Oryzias latipes: one gene and its partners. The protein of the gene in region 1 interacts with the protein of each later gene in a biochemical or structural test. Links are inferred from orthologs where the notes say so. Each region holds a gene or a part of one and is shown in the gene's direction. Other genes may lie near its edges. The genes, in order: shc1, tyrosine-protein kinase ZAP-70 and inpp5d.

Region 1 (4,864 bases):
GCTGAAGCTGGATTATGAGATCAAACCTGACAAATCAGGTTTCATTACCATCACAACGAGCCCACCAGTAGTGTTCATCAGCCAATGACCCACATTCTCCCGTGTTACATCACCACCTTGGTGCTGCAGTGTCTGTCACTGTACCAGTCAGACAACATCTCCCAGGAGGCCTACCAAGATTCAATGGTGCTCAAGGAATAAACAGAAAAAAAAGAACAACAAAAAAAAAAAAGTGAAACTTGGTGGTCATTTTTAGGGAACACACTTAAACAAAAGCAGGCTCTTTTGTTTTTAGCCATATCAGGTACCTCTGTCAGGAACCGGCTCCGCTCTGCGAGTCCAGTCTTAAAAACAAACTTTTGTTTGGTTTTTCTTTGTTTTTCTATGGGTGTCTGTAATGACCATGTCTAGCCTCTAGCCATCCCAAAACCTTAAGTTCAAAAGGCATTCAGACGGGACTCACTTGTATTTTTTGAGTGAGGTTCTGTTAAACGGGACAGCCTGGAGAACGGGCGAGCCATCGAGGGAGGGGGAGAGGGGGCGCGAGAGATCATTTGGAAAAGAAGAGAGGAAGTGGTGGCGCAAGAGAGGGCGGAGGCGCTGGAGAGACAGAGGCTGGCAGAGTACATTGTGTGGAGGAGGAGAGAGGACTTCCAGGACAAGAAAGGAGACGGAGAGAAGGGGGGAAAGAGCACCGAAAAAGGAAAAGAGGCTTCACCAGAGGTCATCTGGAAGAGGAGAGAAGACGAAGAAGGAGACGCAGGAAGGGAGAGGGCCAAAGCCATTCAGAGAGGACATGAAATCATTTGGAGGAAGAGGGAGAGAGAGTAAAACAGGACCCGATGACACATTTGAGGGTGTCATGTTCATGAAAAGTAGCTGCTGAAGAAGCTGTTGCTACTGCTGACACAAAACTCTGACGCTAGTTGAGAGCAGGAACCCTCCTCTCTTCTCCGGCAGGTACCTGCTGTATTATTGACCAGTTAAAGTTTTGGATGATGTCTGCACAGCCCTTCTTCTAATCCCTGTTTTGGCTCCTAATGGGATTTTTAAGCATTTTTTATGGGCCTCTGTCAAGCAGGATACGACTGCCAAGCGGAGCTGCATTACACATGTGCATGTCATCATTGCGGACTGGCAAGGTTTCCAGCACCTCGTGCATGTAGTCATATCGCATTCAAGTGCACAGCTTTGGTTCCGGAAAAACAGGCATTCCGAGTGACAGGAACTTGTGGGGACTCTCTAATGACAGCTTTAAAACTGGCTCTCACTCAGGGATGGTTATGTTGGAAGGAAATACTCACTGATTGTTTTACATCATGGGAGAACACCGAGAAAGAACTGTGGAGCTGAGAGTTCGTCTTCATTAGTCCTGGGAAATCAAACAAATCACAAAAGGATTGAACCAACATGAGCTGTACAAGTCTTGAATGAGACGTTTTCTTTTTGTCTGATTATCTGGGACATCCCACTTCTCTGGACCTCTTCTCATTCTGCATTCACTGTGGACAGAGTTGTAGTTGAAGCAGTTTGGTTTGGCTGCCTCACAATGACTGTAGGACGGACAATCAGATGCAGCAACATGGATGCAGCTCAAATCATGAGCAAGACGTGCAAATGGGTTTGTCTTTTCAGAGAAAAACTTTAGTTTGACAGACACTTTGATCCACTACAGCCTTGGCATCAAAAACTCTCTCTGCAGGATCAATATGGAGCTTGTGCCCAAAACTAAATACACCCACTTTCGGAGTGAGTCGCTGAGTTCAAACGATGACACCAACTCCAATCCATCGTCGTTCCCTCCTTCCAGTCCTGCCACCCCTTTGACCCCCTCCCCTGGTATACCTTCTTCTCTTTCCTCCTCGTCTCTCACTCCTATTTTGCCCCCCACCTCTCCCCGTCCGGCAGAAAACAGTCCCACCACCCTCTGCTCCTTCTTCCCAAGGATGAGTTCCCTTCGTCTGGGTGTCACTGCTACTCTTCTTCCAGGACTCAAGGCCTCAAGCAGGTCACAGCCATCTCAGCTGGCTGTGGAGTCCTCTGGGGACGATAGGAGCAACTCTAGCTCCTCCCCTCCTCTTCACCAACCTGCTCCCCTCCTAACCGCCCCCTCTCCCCCTCCCCGACCTCCTCTGCAGGACATGAACCGGCTTGGAGGGGCGTCCAGGAGGGCACGGGTGGAAGGTGGGCAGCTGGGAGGAGACGAATGGACACGGCATGGCTCCTTCGTCAACAAGCCTACCCGTGGCTGGCTCCACTCTGACAGTGTGGTCAGCACCACTGGTGTTTCTTACACTGTAACAGTAAGTACACTCTCATCAACCTCTGTCTTATGCTATGTACACACTGGGAATGTGATGCACATTCAAGAATGCGCTAAACAGGCATACTTGAATGTGCTTTTGGCATATGGAGTTCACACTGGACTGTCGCAACCCGATACTCGCGCATGTACTTGCAGTTAGAAGAAGCTTGGTGCAAAAAGGTCCCAGCAGTGCAAATCTCGCAAATCTTTGGGTTAACAACTCTATTCCCACATGTGAAAGACTTGGTATCACATAATTCCGACCCGGCACAAACGGGTCATTATTAATTTTTCCTTCATGATACATTTTCAAACGGTTGGCCTCTGAAAATTGAAAATGATGTTACCCACACACCACTACCAAATCCGAGTCCTCAAAGTTCAATTGGTTTAACTTTCATTTAATGAACGTGGAGCCCGAAAACGGACTTAAAAACTGAATAGCTATGCGTGAACATGAAAGTTTTTTTAAGCCTTAAATGAGAATATACGCACATTTAAATGGATTGAAAGGGGCAGCTTGAACGCGTGTTTCCGAGCCCGATTTGAACGTACAGACAGACACTGTCCCTCTTTCCAATCTGGAGTGTAGAGGAAAATAACTTTTTCTGTCTTGCGTGCCGGAAATGTCTAATGTGAACGAGTTGCTTTCCTGTTTCCTGAGCAGTACATGGGTTGTGTAGAGGTGCTACAGTCAATGCGGGCGCTGGACTTCAACACCAGAACACAAGTCACCAGGTGAGACTTTTCACTGGCCTCTGCTGGCTTTCGTCTTTATTTATCACAGGTCATGAGGGGATAACGTGTCTCAAGGTGTTGGGTCTGTAAATTCACTATTATATTAGTCATGTTCTCTATTCTGCTTCCTCTCCATTTACCTACTTTTTTTGTGCTATTTTTTCACTGGTCATATATGGGTGTGTTTTTTTTATACAGCCCTTCTGTTTTCTTTAGAACTTAAATTAGAAAGTGCTGCAGTCCCAGTGGTTTCCTTTTGGTTTCTGCAGAAATGTTTGTGTCTGTGGCAAAGAGGAGTAAAAACAGCACAGACTGGGAGTTCTAAACCCCAGCTGCCAGCTCTCGTTTTATGTACACAAATGTGTGAGCAGGAAGGTGTTGAGAAATATTGCATAATTCCCTAATAGTTGTGTTTTTCTTGTTTCAGGGAAGCTATCGCTGTGGTGTGTGAGGCAGTACCCGGAGCCAAAGGCGCCCGCCGAAGAAAGGTTCATACTACACACATCAACACAACCCTACAGGCCATTATTTATTTATAACGCAGAAGTGGACAGCAGTGGAAATTGGTTTTTTTTCTGGCTAAGACCTCGATTTACCTCGATTGTCTATTTTATGGTCAGTTGGCCAGTCAGTCACATGCTATCTCGTAAACACACACACACACATTTTTGCATTTGGGCAGCCAGCCCAAAACTAAAAATGATTTCCAATCCTAAAGCAAACAATACGCTGACTGTCCAAACCAATGCTTGTTTTCCATGGAACTGTACCAATGGCTTCCCTGGAATTCTTTTTGTTTTTGCGTAAGCGCACAAAGAGCTTGATTTAAGATAATTGTGCACTTGTGTGGTGAGTGAGCCACTTGCAGGTAATTACCAATCACTATAGGTCTCTTTTCTCCCTCTCCCGTGCCACAGGGGAGGCTTGTGGGGAGCCAGTGTCCGGCTTAAGAAGCACTATGGATTAGCAAACGCAGCCTCCAAACGCTGTGTCTGTAAAACTAAAAGCATCCACCCAAACAGTCTATAAAGCTGTTCGGTCTGCTTGCAAAACTGGGTTTGACCAGTGAATTACTGGCAGTCTACTATTCCAGACAAAAAAATGCTAAAATATGATGACTGCAATAGATAAAACTAGTCACTTCTGCCTTTTTTTTAGGTTACTGTGGCTAAGCATGAGCTGCTTTTCTCAGCATTTTCCAAATATTCTGGAGCAAATTTGGATGAAAGCTGTGAGAACAGGAGGTGGATTGGAGTTGATGAGTTGGCACAATTGTTTTGGCCTGGCCCATGTGATATTCATTGTCAAGCCTAAATTATGTGATCTGGCCTCCCTCACAGGCGTCATTGGCTTTAGAGACCAGATCATTCTTTGGAGTTGCAGTAACCGTCTCACTCCCACACTCAAAAGCATTTACTCATTTATTTCCACAGATATGTATCCAGCTCTCATTCACTCTTATTAATGTTAGTTTCACCAAATAAAATCAGCTTGTGATTTAGTAAAGTTCTTTCTTGCTTTGTGTTGCTCTTCTTCACAGCCTTCCTCTCGGTGTCTCACATCAATTCTGGGAAAGAGTAACTTGCAGTTTGCAGGCATGCCAATCAGCCTCACCATCTCAACCAGCAGCCTAAACCTGCTAGCTTCTGACTGCAAACAGGTTAGACTGCTATCACATTTTCTGGCTCTCTCAAAGTGTTATGCTGACTATTGATTAGCAAGCTCAAGATATTCCTGCTTATCAGTGTGCTTGCGTAACAACCTGTGACGTACACAACCTGTCAATTGTAAGATGTAGTTGTAATGGCGATGATGTTTGAG
Region 2 (4,864 bases), on another chromosome or scaffold:
TATACATTAATCCGGCCCAAAGTGGAAAAACTTTAAACTATTTGATCAATTTCTAGGTAGGGCTTGAGAAAACAGAAAAGTAACATCACTGTTGTTGAAAAGGCAACAGGAACATTTTACACACACATGGACATACTTCAGTGCCATTATCAAGATCAGTCAAAAAAAAAAAGAAATTGTCTCTTAGGATTCTTTGGGAGACAAAAAAATATTAAAAATGGAAAAAAAAATTTTTAATATTTAATAAAAGAACAGTTTGTATCATCTATTTTTTTTCTTTTTTAGTTCATTAATGGATAAAATGCTTTATCTCAGTCTGGAAAAACTGTCAAAAATTTCAAAATTGAACTTTAGCATTGATAGATAGATAGACAAAAAGGAAACATTTTAGACATCGTGTAAAGATGTAAAAATTAAAACTGTAAAACCGGGTGATACTGTTTTAAATTTTGTGGATTTCAACCATCTTGCAGCTAAAATTGTCTCCAAAAAGAAACGGATGCCATGCTTTTCAAACTCCTGCCATCTTAATCAATCAATTTAATATTCTAGCACTTTTTAAAATTTAAACCACCCTTTTTCTGTCAAGAAAGTCAAACAGAACTAACTCTACTGTTTCTGTTCATTCTAAAAGTATGTTTAAGCGTTGTGCCTGCACTAACACACTCAAAAATTAAGGCAATTTAAGGATACAAGATTTTTTTAAAGAAAATAGGAACAAAGAAAGGGTCAGTTTGGACAAATTGTACCTCCCCTGTAGCTTAAGACACTTAGCTTTGATTCACTTTAATGTGTTACACACTGTCTAGTTTCAACATCATCCCTCCTGCTGCGACCAATCTGAAGCAGACTGGCACCTTTTATGGGCTCTAGTTAAACAGTCAAACAAGTTCCAGTTGTTTGCAGGCTCAACTTGTTTTGCCAAACATCCCACCTTTTACCGCAATGCAGGCCCAATGTAGGTTTGCTGACTCTGAAAGCTTACCGATGGTTGCAAGTTGTGATGTGAACGTGCAGAAACAGAATATGGGAGGAAAAAATGTAAAAAGATTTCGTATGTAGCATGTTGGATCTCTGGAGCTTTGTGTATCCATGCAGGGGGAGGCCATGGAGCAGGCCATCATCAGTCAAGCTCCTCAGCTGGAAAAGCTGATCGCCACAACAGCTCACGAGAAGATGCCTTGGTTTCACGGTAAAATCAACCGCCACGAAGGAGAGAGGCGTCTTTACTCTGGAGCACAACCAGACGGGAAGTTTCTGTAAGTTGTGACGTGTGCACCTCTGCATTGACTTCAGTGCCTGTTTTTTTTTCCAAAAGCTAAGGAAATATTTGAGACTTTGCTGCGTTTTCTTTGGTTTTGTTTCTCAGAGTCAGAGAAAGAGACGAACCCGGGACCTTTGCTCTTTCTGTAGTGTACGGGAAAACAGTTTACCACTATCAGATTGTCCAAGACAAATCAGGGAAGTTGTCTGTACCTGAAGGGACCAAGTTTGACACACTCTGGCAGGTGGGAACCCTGTTTTTCTCTACGTTTCGGCATCACTCTGCAGCATTGAATTAAAAGAATGTGGTTCCCTTTTTTTCCACAGCTGGTTGAGTATCTGAAGATGAAACCTGATGGGCTGGTAATTGTCCTTGGAGAGGCGTGCACCAACGGCAGAGTTTCTGAACGTACTGAACCATTTTCCTTAAATGTCATGATTCTCTGACATTGTTGTGACTAAACTTAATTCTAATCTTTTTTGCAACATTTCAGAAATGCCCAATGTTCCTGCAATGGTAAGTGTTGGCCTTTATGCTTCAATCAGCATGCTTGACATGCTCCCAGCTTCATTTTCCCCCCCCTTTTCTTTCAGAGGAGATCAAATGGATACACACCGCCACCTAAAGGTCAGTTGCTGACAGTACAGCAGAATGCACCAATACAGAACAAAAGATCTTATCACTTTTATGATTATTTTTGTGTTTATGGATTTATCTATGTTAATAATAATTTTAAATGTTTATTTGAGAAGTTTAGTAATAAGTGAGAATAGTTGAAAAGTAACACTATTTATAAGGCTTTGTAAAATTATTGCTGTGGCAAAACTTCTAACTTGGAGAGCCCCAGAAGGTGGAATTAAGTGTTAAGTAGTGTGATCATGTAATTTGATTCTTTCCAAATAAAATAATGAGTAGTTGTGCAGCTACAGTTTCAGCTGATGCTCTGCCCATGGACTTTGCCGGATTCAACCCCTACCACGACCCAAATGACATCAAGAAGTTTAACATCAGTAGGGATCAGCTGCTGATGGACGAGGTCGAGCTCGGCTCTGGCAACTTTGGCTCCGTCAAGAAGGGAGTCTTGATAACAAAATCGTAAGATTTAAACGTCAAGAAAAGTGAAAAGCTGGTTTGAAGTTTTGCAACCTGACACTGATTTGCTCCTGCGCCTTTTTTTTTTTTGTCTGGTCACAGAGGTCATGTAGACGTGGCCGTCAAAGTGCTGAAGAGTGAAAATGAGAAGCTGGTGAAAGATGAGATGATGAGAGAGGCAGAGATCATGCACCAGCTGAGTAACCCCTTCATCGTCCGCATGCTGGGCCTGTGCCAAGGCGACAATCTGATGCTCGTCATGGAGATGGCCGCTGCTGGTCCTCTCAATAAGTTTCTCTCTACCAAGAAGTGAGTAAATGTTCAGGATGACATCTGATGGTGGAGTTTGCTGTTCAGAACAGTTCGTAAAAAAGGTATATTTCACACTGAATCTTTATCCTCCCCCATTTGGGTGGATCAACAAACTACTTAAAAAATAAAGACAAAACTACATTGAAATCCATCTATCCATTTGGGAAGAAGCCAGAGATCCCAGAGAAAACGCACACGTGCACAGGAACAACATGCAACCTCCACGCAGGATTTGACCCAAAGCCTTCTCACTGTGAGACGAGGGAGATAACCACTGTACCACAATGCAGCCCTACCTTAAAATGTATCAATGAATTCAAAGTTTTCTAACTTTTAAATTGTTTTTCAATTATTCCGTTGGTTTGCTTGAACACCTGAATCTGGATGCTCAATCCTAACCACAAACCAATCAAACCTGATGTTAAGTAACCTTTTTTTCTTGGATGGCAACAGCTTAATGTGGAACATACAAATAAATGCACCTGTGTGGGGCTTGTTGCATTGCTCATCTCTCCATCCAACATCTCAAATGTCATTTCTTTGTAGTCACTGTGTAATTTTGAGGAAAAAAAGCATTTCTGCATCGATGAGCACAGGGGATATTGGAACTTAAGCACATATGAAAATATGTAGATTGATTTTTAGCTCCTAAGAAGCACAATATAGTGTTACATTACTCATAATTTGCTTTTTGCTTTTTTTTTTTTGCATTGCTTTTAATACGAAAGTGACAAAAATAGACAAATGCAAACATTCAAAAAGTAGTTTTCACCTCACATACTTACTTTTTTCACTTGGCATGGATGTTTCTGTTTTGTCCCCACAGAGATGTTATAACCGTGGAGAACATTGTGAACTTACTGCACCAAGTGTCGATGGGGATGAAGTATCTGGAAGAGAAGAATTTTGTTCACAGAGATTTGGCTGCTCGAAACGTCCTGCTGGTTAACCAACAATTTGCCAAGATCAGTGACTTTGGGCTCTCCAAAGCCTTGGGAGCAGATGACAACTATTACAAAGTATTCATGATGTAGCTGCTTTTTTTTTATCATTATTGTGCTAAAACACGTAAACATACTGCTCAAAAATGTAAAAGTCTAAATTAATTTGTATTTCTAGATACAAAGCATGCAATACAGCGATAATGTTTATGTTAGTCAGTATTTTTTAGTCATTAAAAACTGCCATCAATTTTGTTTCTCTGTGTTTAAACGAAAAAAAAAACTGAGGTTAGCACCCATTTTTAACAATAACTAAATATATATTTGTTAGCTTTCCCCCACAGTTTTCAGTGTGTGCTTGTCCTATACGTTACTGTTATTATTAACCCAAATAAATACGACCATCAATAAGAAAAACGAGGAAATAAAAAGTTACTGAAGCACAAATAAATCCTCCATCACATCTAGGGCAGGAGCCCCTCCCCCTAAGACCCTGAACAGGGTAAAGCAGATATGTCTGGGTCTTAAATGTTAGTAAAATAAATTTAAACCAATTACAGGAACAACCTTTTTGGCTAAATACGTGTATTTTAGCCTCAGACTATCGGCAGTGACGCCTCCTCATATTGTGTGTTTACAGGCTCGAACTGCAGGCAAATGGCCACTGAAATGGTACGCTCCAGAGTGCATAAACTTCCACAAATTCTCCAGTAAAAGTGACGTGTGGAGTTTTGGCGTCACCATGTGGGAGGCCTTCACCTATGGAGGAAAACCCTACAAGGTGAGGGTGGTTCTGCAGAGCAGACCTTTAACTCTTACATCCCACCAGTGGACAGACACACTGATGCAGGAGATTTATCTCTTTTCCCCTCAACCCAGAAAATGAAAGGTCCAGAAGTGATCAGCTTCATTAAAAATGGAAACCGCATGGAGAAACCACCAGCCTGTCCAGACAGGATGTATGCAGTGATGATGGAGTGTTGGACGTACAGGTGAGAATCCCAATGTTACCTGTAAACTCATTTATCCTCTCACATGCCAAGAATGAGGCCAAGAGTTGATTAAAAAATACAATGTTTGACATAAAATAGTTTTCTATTGTGGTTTTAGCCGTAAAAAACTAAGACTGGAAACTGGAAGAACATGATGTAACGTAAGCAAACTTTGTGTCATATAACATGACCAAAAATAACCTTCTGACATTAGAAAATGAAATATACATTTGTTTTACAAAACTTTACTTTAAACAGAATAC
Region 3 (4,864 bases), on another chromosome or scaffold:
TGCCTTTGCTCCCCTGCAGCTGGGATGGATCCAGCAGCCCCATGACCTCTGAAGAGATTTAGCAGGTTCAGAATGGATGAACAGGTTTAGTTAGGTTCTTCTGAAAGTCTAACACTGTCTTTCTCTTTGAATCATATCAGACCATAGATCAGCAGAATTTAAATGCATTTGCATTCATTTACAGACCTGTAGATTATGAAGTACTCTGTGTTTGCAGGCTCATGGTAGCACCAGGTTACACAGAGTCCAGAGTTGCAGAGGACTCGCAGAGTCAAACGTAGCATGCTGAGAATTTATTCAGAATAGATGTGATGTATCTGCTGGCACTGTCATGAATCTGTTTAAATTTGACCCGTTCTAATTAATCATCATTTAATCTTCAGTGTGAGGTGATGTTGGTCTGCCTGCCCCCTTAAAAAGGCAGGTGTTAGAATTTGGTGAGACAAAAAGATTAAAACAATAAATCCGTGAGCAAAGCTACTTGGTTTGTGCCTTTGATGCTGAACGTTTCAGGCAAATGAGTGTCAGTTTTTAGGTTGGTACACAGAAATACAATTTGCATTTTTCCTTTGCCAGAATGTGGATGTTGCTCACCTCTATTGTTAGTACAGGAGCTAAGGCTTCATTTTCATCCTGTACTCTGTCTTGATGATTGACTGCTTTTTTTTTTCATTGAAAGTTGAACATTTTGGTGGGGTTGTCACAGGACATTCGCGTGGACAAGTCTCTGATAACAATCAAGCTTCTGTGTAAAGATGAATCAAGCTGCAGGAAAGGGTTTGGACTGAGATGTGCAGAAGATTTTACCTGCCAAAAACCTTCACAAGGGTTAGAAAAATGCTACTCAGCATTCATAAAAAAATAAACTCATACATGACTGAAAACTTTTCAAGAGACAAAAGTCAGAACTTGACCAAACGCAACCACAACCAGGTGAAAACAAAGTAATGGGGGGAAATAAAAAACTAGACTAGTACTATAACCATGTCACTGACCACACGTCGGTACAGCGGTAGGGCGGTCGACCTCTGACGATTGCACTGACAAAGATTGCAGGTACGATTCACACCATGCCCGCATTTGTCATAAGTGTCCTCGGGGAAGACACTCAATTCCACCTTGCCTCTGTTGGAAGGTTGGCGCCAGTGTTCGGCATCGTGTGTGAATGGGTGAATGTTACTGTGACTGCAAAGCGCTTTTGACCTTCGAGAAAGGTCAAAAGGGGCTATACAAGTGTAAGCCATTTACCATTTTAACACTTCCACTTTCCCAGCCAAAGAATTTTCCACAGACCTTTCACTTCTGTACTTTCCTTTTAGTCTCATTTTAGCAATAGGGAAATAGGGACCAGAGTTGGAGTTATTTGTATAGAACCTTTTATACAGAGGCAAATGATGGGGCTTTATGAAACGCATTAACCTTTTGTATCATACAGTGAAAGTCATTTTAATAAAACAAAGAACAAACACACCAGGAGACACCAAAGTATTTAGTATGAACCCAACAAGAGGCTGCATTCATCTGTGTGCAGCATAGAAGTCAAAGCAGCTTAAACCGGTTTTGATTTTGAGGTACTAAATGCACAAGAGCTCAACTATCTCTGTAAATTTTAGCAGACTTAGACCATACATATTTAATTCTATGTTCCAGAGGAAAAGCTCAATGTGTGGCCAAGGCTTCCCCTGTTCTCCAAAGCAGAGCTTCTCTTTTAAAGAGGCTTGTTTTTTGTCCATATTTGGTGAAATGCTCCGCTAAACATCTATCTCACCTGCAGGTTGCACTAATGACATCATGACAAGTGACCACTCACCTGTTTTTGCCTCGTTTGAAGTCGGAGTCGCTTCACAGTTTGTCTCCAAACAAGGCAAGTTCAGGATTCAACTACAAAAAAAAAAAAAAAAAAAAAACTTCAGACACTTCAAAGCCTCGATCTGATTTTTTTCTGTTTTCTGTTCCTCAGATCCGAACACTGAAAGTCAAGGAGGAATACAAATCATGAACTGCGTTGCTGTTTTGTTGACTAAAGCAAAGACCAAGTTCTTCATTGAGTTTCATTCCAGCTGCTTGGAGAGTGAGATTACGACCTTTGACCTATTCTCTGGAGTATTCTCTTTTGCTCGACTGAAGATGACCTTGATGGTCTCCTTTGATTTCTCTGGCAGAGAGTACGAAGACTAAAGAAGGGGAGAACACGGAACAGTCTGACGGCTCCATAAAAGTCACATTTGGCAACCAAGTTGAGGTAAATCTGAGTTTTTCAGAGCAGAGAAGCATTTCTGTTTCAGCATCAGCTGTGATTTTGTTTGCCCTTTCCATCCAAGCTCACTCCCATCATCTCTGACCCCGAGTACCTCTTGGACCAGCACATCCTCATCTGCGTAAAATCAGTAGACTCCGATGAGTCGTACGGTAAGAAGTGGTTGGAAACTTTGGTTTGTGCTGAGTGAAACGTCGTTCACAATCCTGTGGATGTTTTCATTCATGAAGGAGAGGGTTGTGTGGCGCTGCGGGCTGCACAGTTCTGCTACCGAGAGTTTCAGATCACACTGACTCACCACGGAGAAAAGACGGGAACTCTGACAGGTGGCATCCAGTTACACACCTCAGAGGGAAAACCCACCGAGAAGTTATACGGTGAGGCTGGAGATCGCCTCCTGGATGAATCAATGACGGTCTTTTTCAAGGAGTCTGACAACAATCCCATTGATTTCCTTCTGCTTTCAGATTTTATCAAAGTTGAGCGGGATGATGCTGTCCCTTTCAAAGGCAAAGGAGGAGACAAGTGAGATATTTTTCCTTTGTCGTCATATAAAATGGGACATTTCATTTCTAGCAGGGACGTGTGTTTCCTTCTTTTGAGAACAGGTCTGCCATGGCACAGACACATGATATTTCAAACCCCAGCTACATGGGACTGTCTTTCAAAGTTGGGAACGTAAAAGAAAAGGGTTGGAGTTACAACATGCTCAACCGAGGGCCAGACGCTGCTGGACAAATGGGCAAAGAGTCCAAGAAGGCTGGTTTTGATTTGAGCCCCACAGCTAAGGTGTCCTCAGTGTGAGTATCTGATGAAAAGCTCTGAAAACCGAAACTCAAACGGGCACTAAACCAAATCCTACTGGCTGCTGTCTTCTCTAGGGGGGCGGATGAACCAGTGTCAGAGATGTTTGACAACCCACTCTACGGTTCAATGGTAAAAACGCACGGCCGGGGAAAGGAGCAGGGCCATTCGCAGACCGACCACCTCACCCCTGGAGATCCCCCCCAGTCGTCCTCCAAAGCAGCAGATCTTGAGCTTGAGCGCCCGCCTCTGCCCACCCCTCGAAACCGCTCCTACACCTGCTCTGAGAACAAACCCCAGCACCCGACCCCCATCAACCTGCTCCCGACACTGCAGAAGAAACCAGTGGTGCCCTCGCGTTCGGAGGGCGGGACAGCACCCAGCCGCCCTCCCCTGCCGGCAAAGTCTCGGCCAGAGCCCCAGGCCCCAAAATCCAGAGACTACAGGGACTTCTCGGACATCCACAACAAAAACAGAGCACCGGCGAGACCCGCCCAGCCTCACAAAGACAGTAAGGAAATGGCTTCTATTTGAACCTTAAGGCTAGGCTCACACCGGGCTCGAAAATCTCCTCTCAAGCGGCAACTTCCAAGCAAACGTTTATGTAAACGCGAATACACGTTTTTGGGCTTCCGTGTTCAAAACTCTCGCATTCACGTGTCACTATGCAAGTTTTTATGGGACTTTGTGGCCTCTATTTAAAAAAACATGCTTCAAGATAACTTGCACAGAAAGCTAAACCAGTTGAACTTTGACCAATCAGGGTCTCAGATTTGGTAGTGTTGTATAGGTAGTGTCCTTCTCAGAACATGGAAGTGACAACCATTTGGAAATTGACCATGGAGGGGAAATTAATAATTGCAGTTTGTGCCCACATTTCATGTATCGGAATAGAGCTGTAACAGAAAAAGCCTGGAGCGAGATTCACAAGATTTGCACCGCTATGATGTTTCACACCAACCTTTACCAACTGAGTACAGGCACTAGTATTGAGTAGCAACAGTCTAATGCGAACACCGTTTGGTAAAAGCGTGTTCAAAAACCTGCAGTCAGTTGCCTGCCGTGTACGTAGCTTGACACAACACGGTCATTAATGAAATATTCTTTATCCCATATTGCATCCAGATGCCCCTAAAATGGGTCGTCCCGGGAACTGAGAGGAGGCTGCAGTGACGGTCGTTGTGCCCCAACCAGCTTCCCGCTCTGCATTTCTGCAAACTCACAAAGGCAGAGCTTCGGCCACTTCTCACCTTGAACCATTAAAGAGATGCTCCTCCCTCGGCTGAGTCAAAGCACCATCCTCCACACACCAAAGACCTTCAGATAAACCCCGCCTCCAACTCCACAGTCAAATGAGCCGATGGAGTTCTCTGAGATCAGAGACAAAAGAAGAAAAGAAGAGAAAAAACATCAGTGATGGGAAAGGTCAAACAATCAATATAAGAAATGTTTTTGCTTCACAGGTGTGTGAATAAAAAATATCTTCAGGGTTACAAGCTGGATTTTTCCATTTCCAGGCAGGTCAGAAACCCAGGAAAACCAACTCAATGCTTGATTACTTTCTCAGACTGATTTGGAAGCAAAAATGGTGTTAAATTCTTGCAGGGTTGGGTAGGAGGATTCAGCTGGCCTAATTTTACAAATTTGTTGCTTTGAGTCACGAGATCTCATGACTGTTTCCATGATTATCTAAGCTAACTCCACAGCAATCGTGATCTGTGCTTTAAAATAAAAATATTCTAGAGTTTTACACTAGACTGTGGCTAATGAATGTCTACCACACAGTATTTTCTAACACAAACA

What was found.
Region 2: of the proteins of shc1 (region 1) and tyrosine-protein kinase ZAP-70, one has a biochemical effect on the other in vitro, tested with the Homo sapiens proteins (2 studies listed by BioGRID, with this or other methods). The link is inferred for Oryzias latipes from reciprocal best matches to the Homo sapiens genes SHC1 and ZAP70.
Region 3: the proteins of shc1 (region 1) and inpp5d form a complex in vitro, tested with the Homo sapiens proteins (2 studies listed by BioGRID and IntAct, with this or other methods). The link is inferred for Oryzias latipes from reciprocal best matches to the Homo sapiens genes SHC1 and INPP5D.

The regions. Positions count from the first base shown.
Region 1 is NC_019874.2:18,329,389-18,334,252, reverse strand, and holds part of shc1 (SHC-transforming protein 1), read left to right. Parts: 5' UTR 1-1,709; coding exon 1,710-2,303; intron 2,304-2,972; coding exon 2,973-3,043; intron 3,044-3,470; coding exon 3,471-3,531; intron 3,532-4,583; coding exon 4,584-4,703; intron 4,704-4,864. UniProt on the Homo sapiens protein: Signaling adapter that couples activated growth factor receptors to signaling pathways. Participates in a signaling cascade initiated by activated KIT and KITLG/SCF.
Region 2 is NC_019862.2:14,803,468-14,808,331, reverse strand, and holds part of tyrosine-protein kinase ZAP-70, read left to right. Parts: intron 1-1,098; coding exon 1,099-1,259; intron 1,260-1,369; coding exon 1,370-1,508; intron 1,509-1,590; coding exon 1,591-1,672; intron 1,673-1,757; coding exon 1,758-1,780; intron 1,781-1,857; coding exon 1,858-1,891; intron 1,892-2,187; coding exon 2,188-2,359; intron 2,360-2,458; coding exon 2,459-2,665; intron 2,666-3,494; coding exon 3,495-3,687; exon of another isoform or gene 3,688-3,698; intron 3,699-4,249; coding exon 4,250-4,390; intron 4,391-4,488; coding exon 4,489-4,601; intron 4,602-4,864. UniProt on the Homo sapiens protein: Tyrosine kinase that plays an essential role in regulation of the adaptive immune response. Regulates motility, adhesion and cytokine expression of mature T-cells, as well as thymocyte development.
Region 3 is NC_019862.2:27,130,763-27,135,626, forward strand, and holds part of inpp5d (phosphatidylinositol 3,4,5-trisphosphate 5-phosphatase 1), read left to right. Parts: intron 1-1,774; coding exon 1,775-1,864; intron 1,865-1,960; coding exon 1,961-2,071; intron 2,072-2,162; coding exon 2,163-2,242; intron 2,243-2,321; coding exon 2,322-2,409; intron 2,410-2,487; coding exon 2,488-2,634; intron 2,635-2,724; coding exon 2,725-2,782; intron 2,783-2,865; coding exon 2,866-3,057; intron 3,058-3,138; coding exon 3,139-3,572; intron 3,573-4,186; coding exon 4,187-4,218; 3' UTR 4,219-4,864. UniProt on the Homo sapiens protein: Phosphatidylinositol (PtdIns) phosphatase that specifically hydrolyzes the 5-phosphate of phosphatidylinositol-3,4,5-trisphosphate (PtdIns(3,4,5)P3) to produce PtdIns(3,4)P2, thereby negatively regulating the PI3K (phosphoinositide 3-kinase) pathways.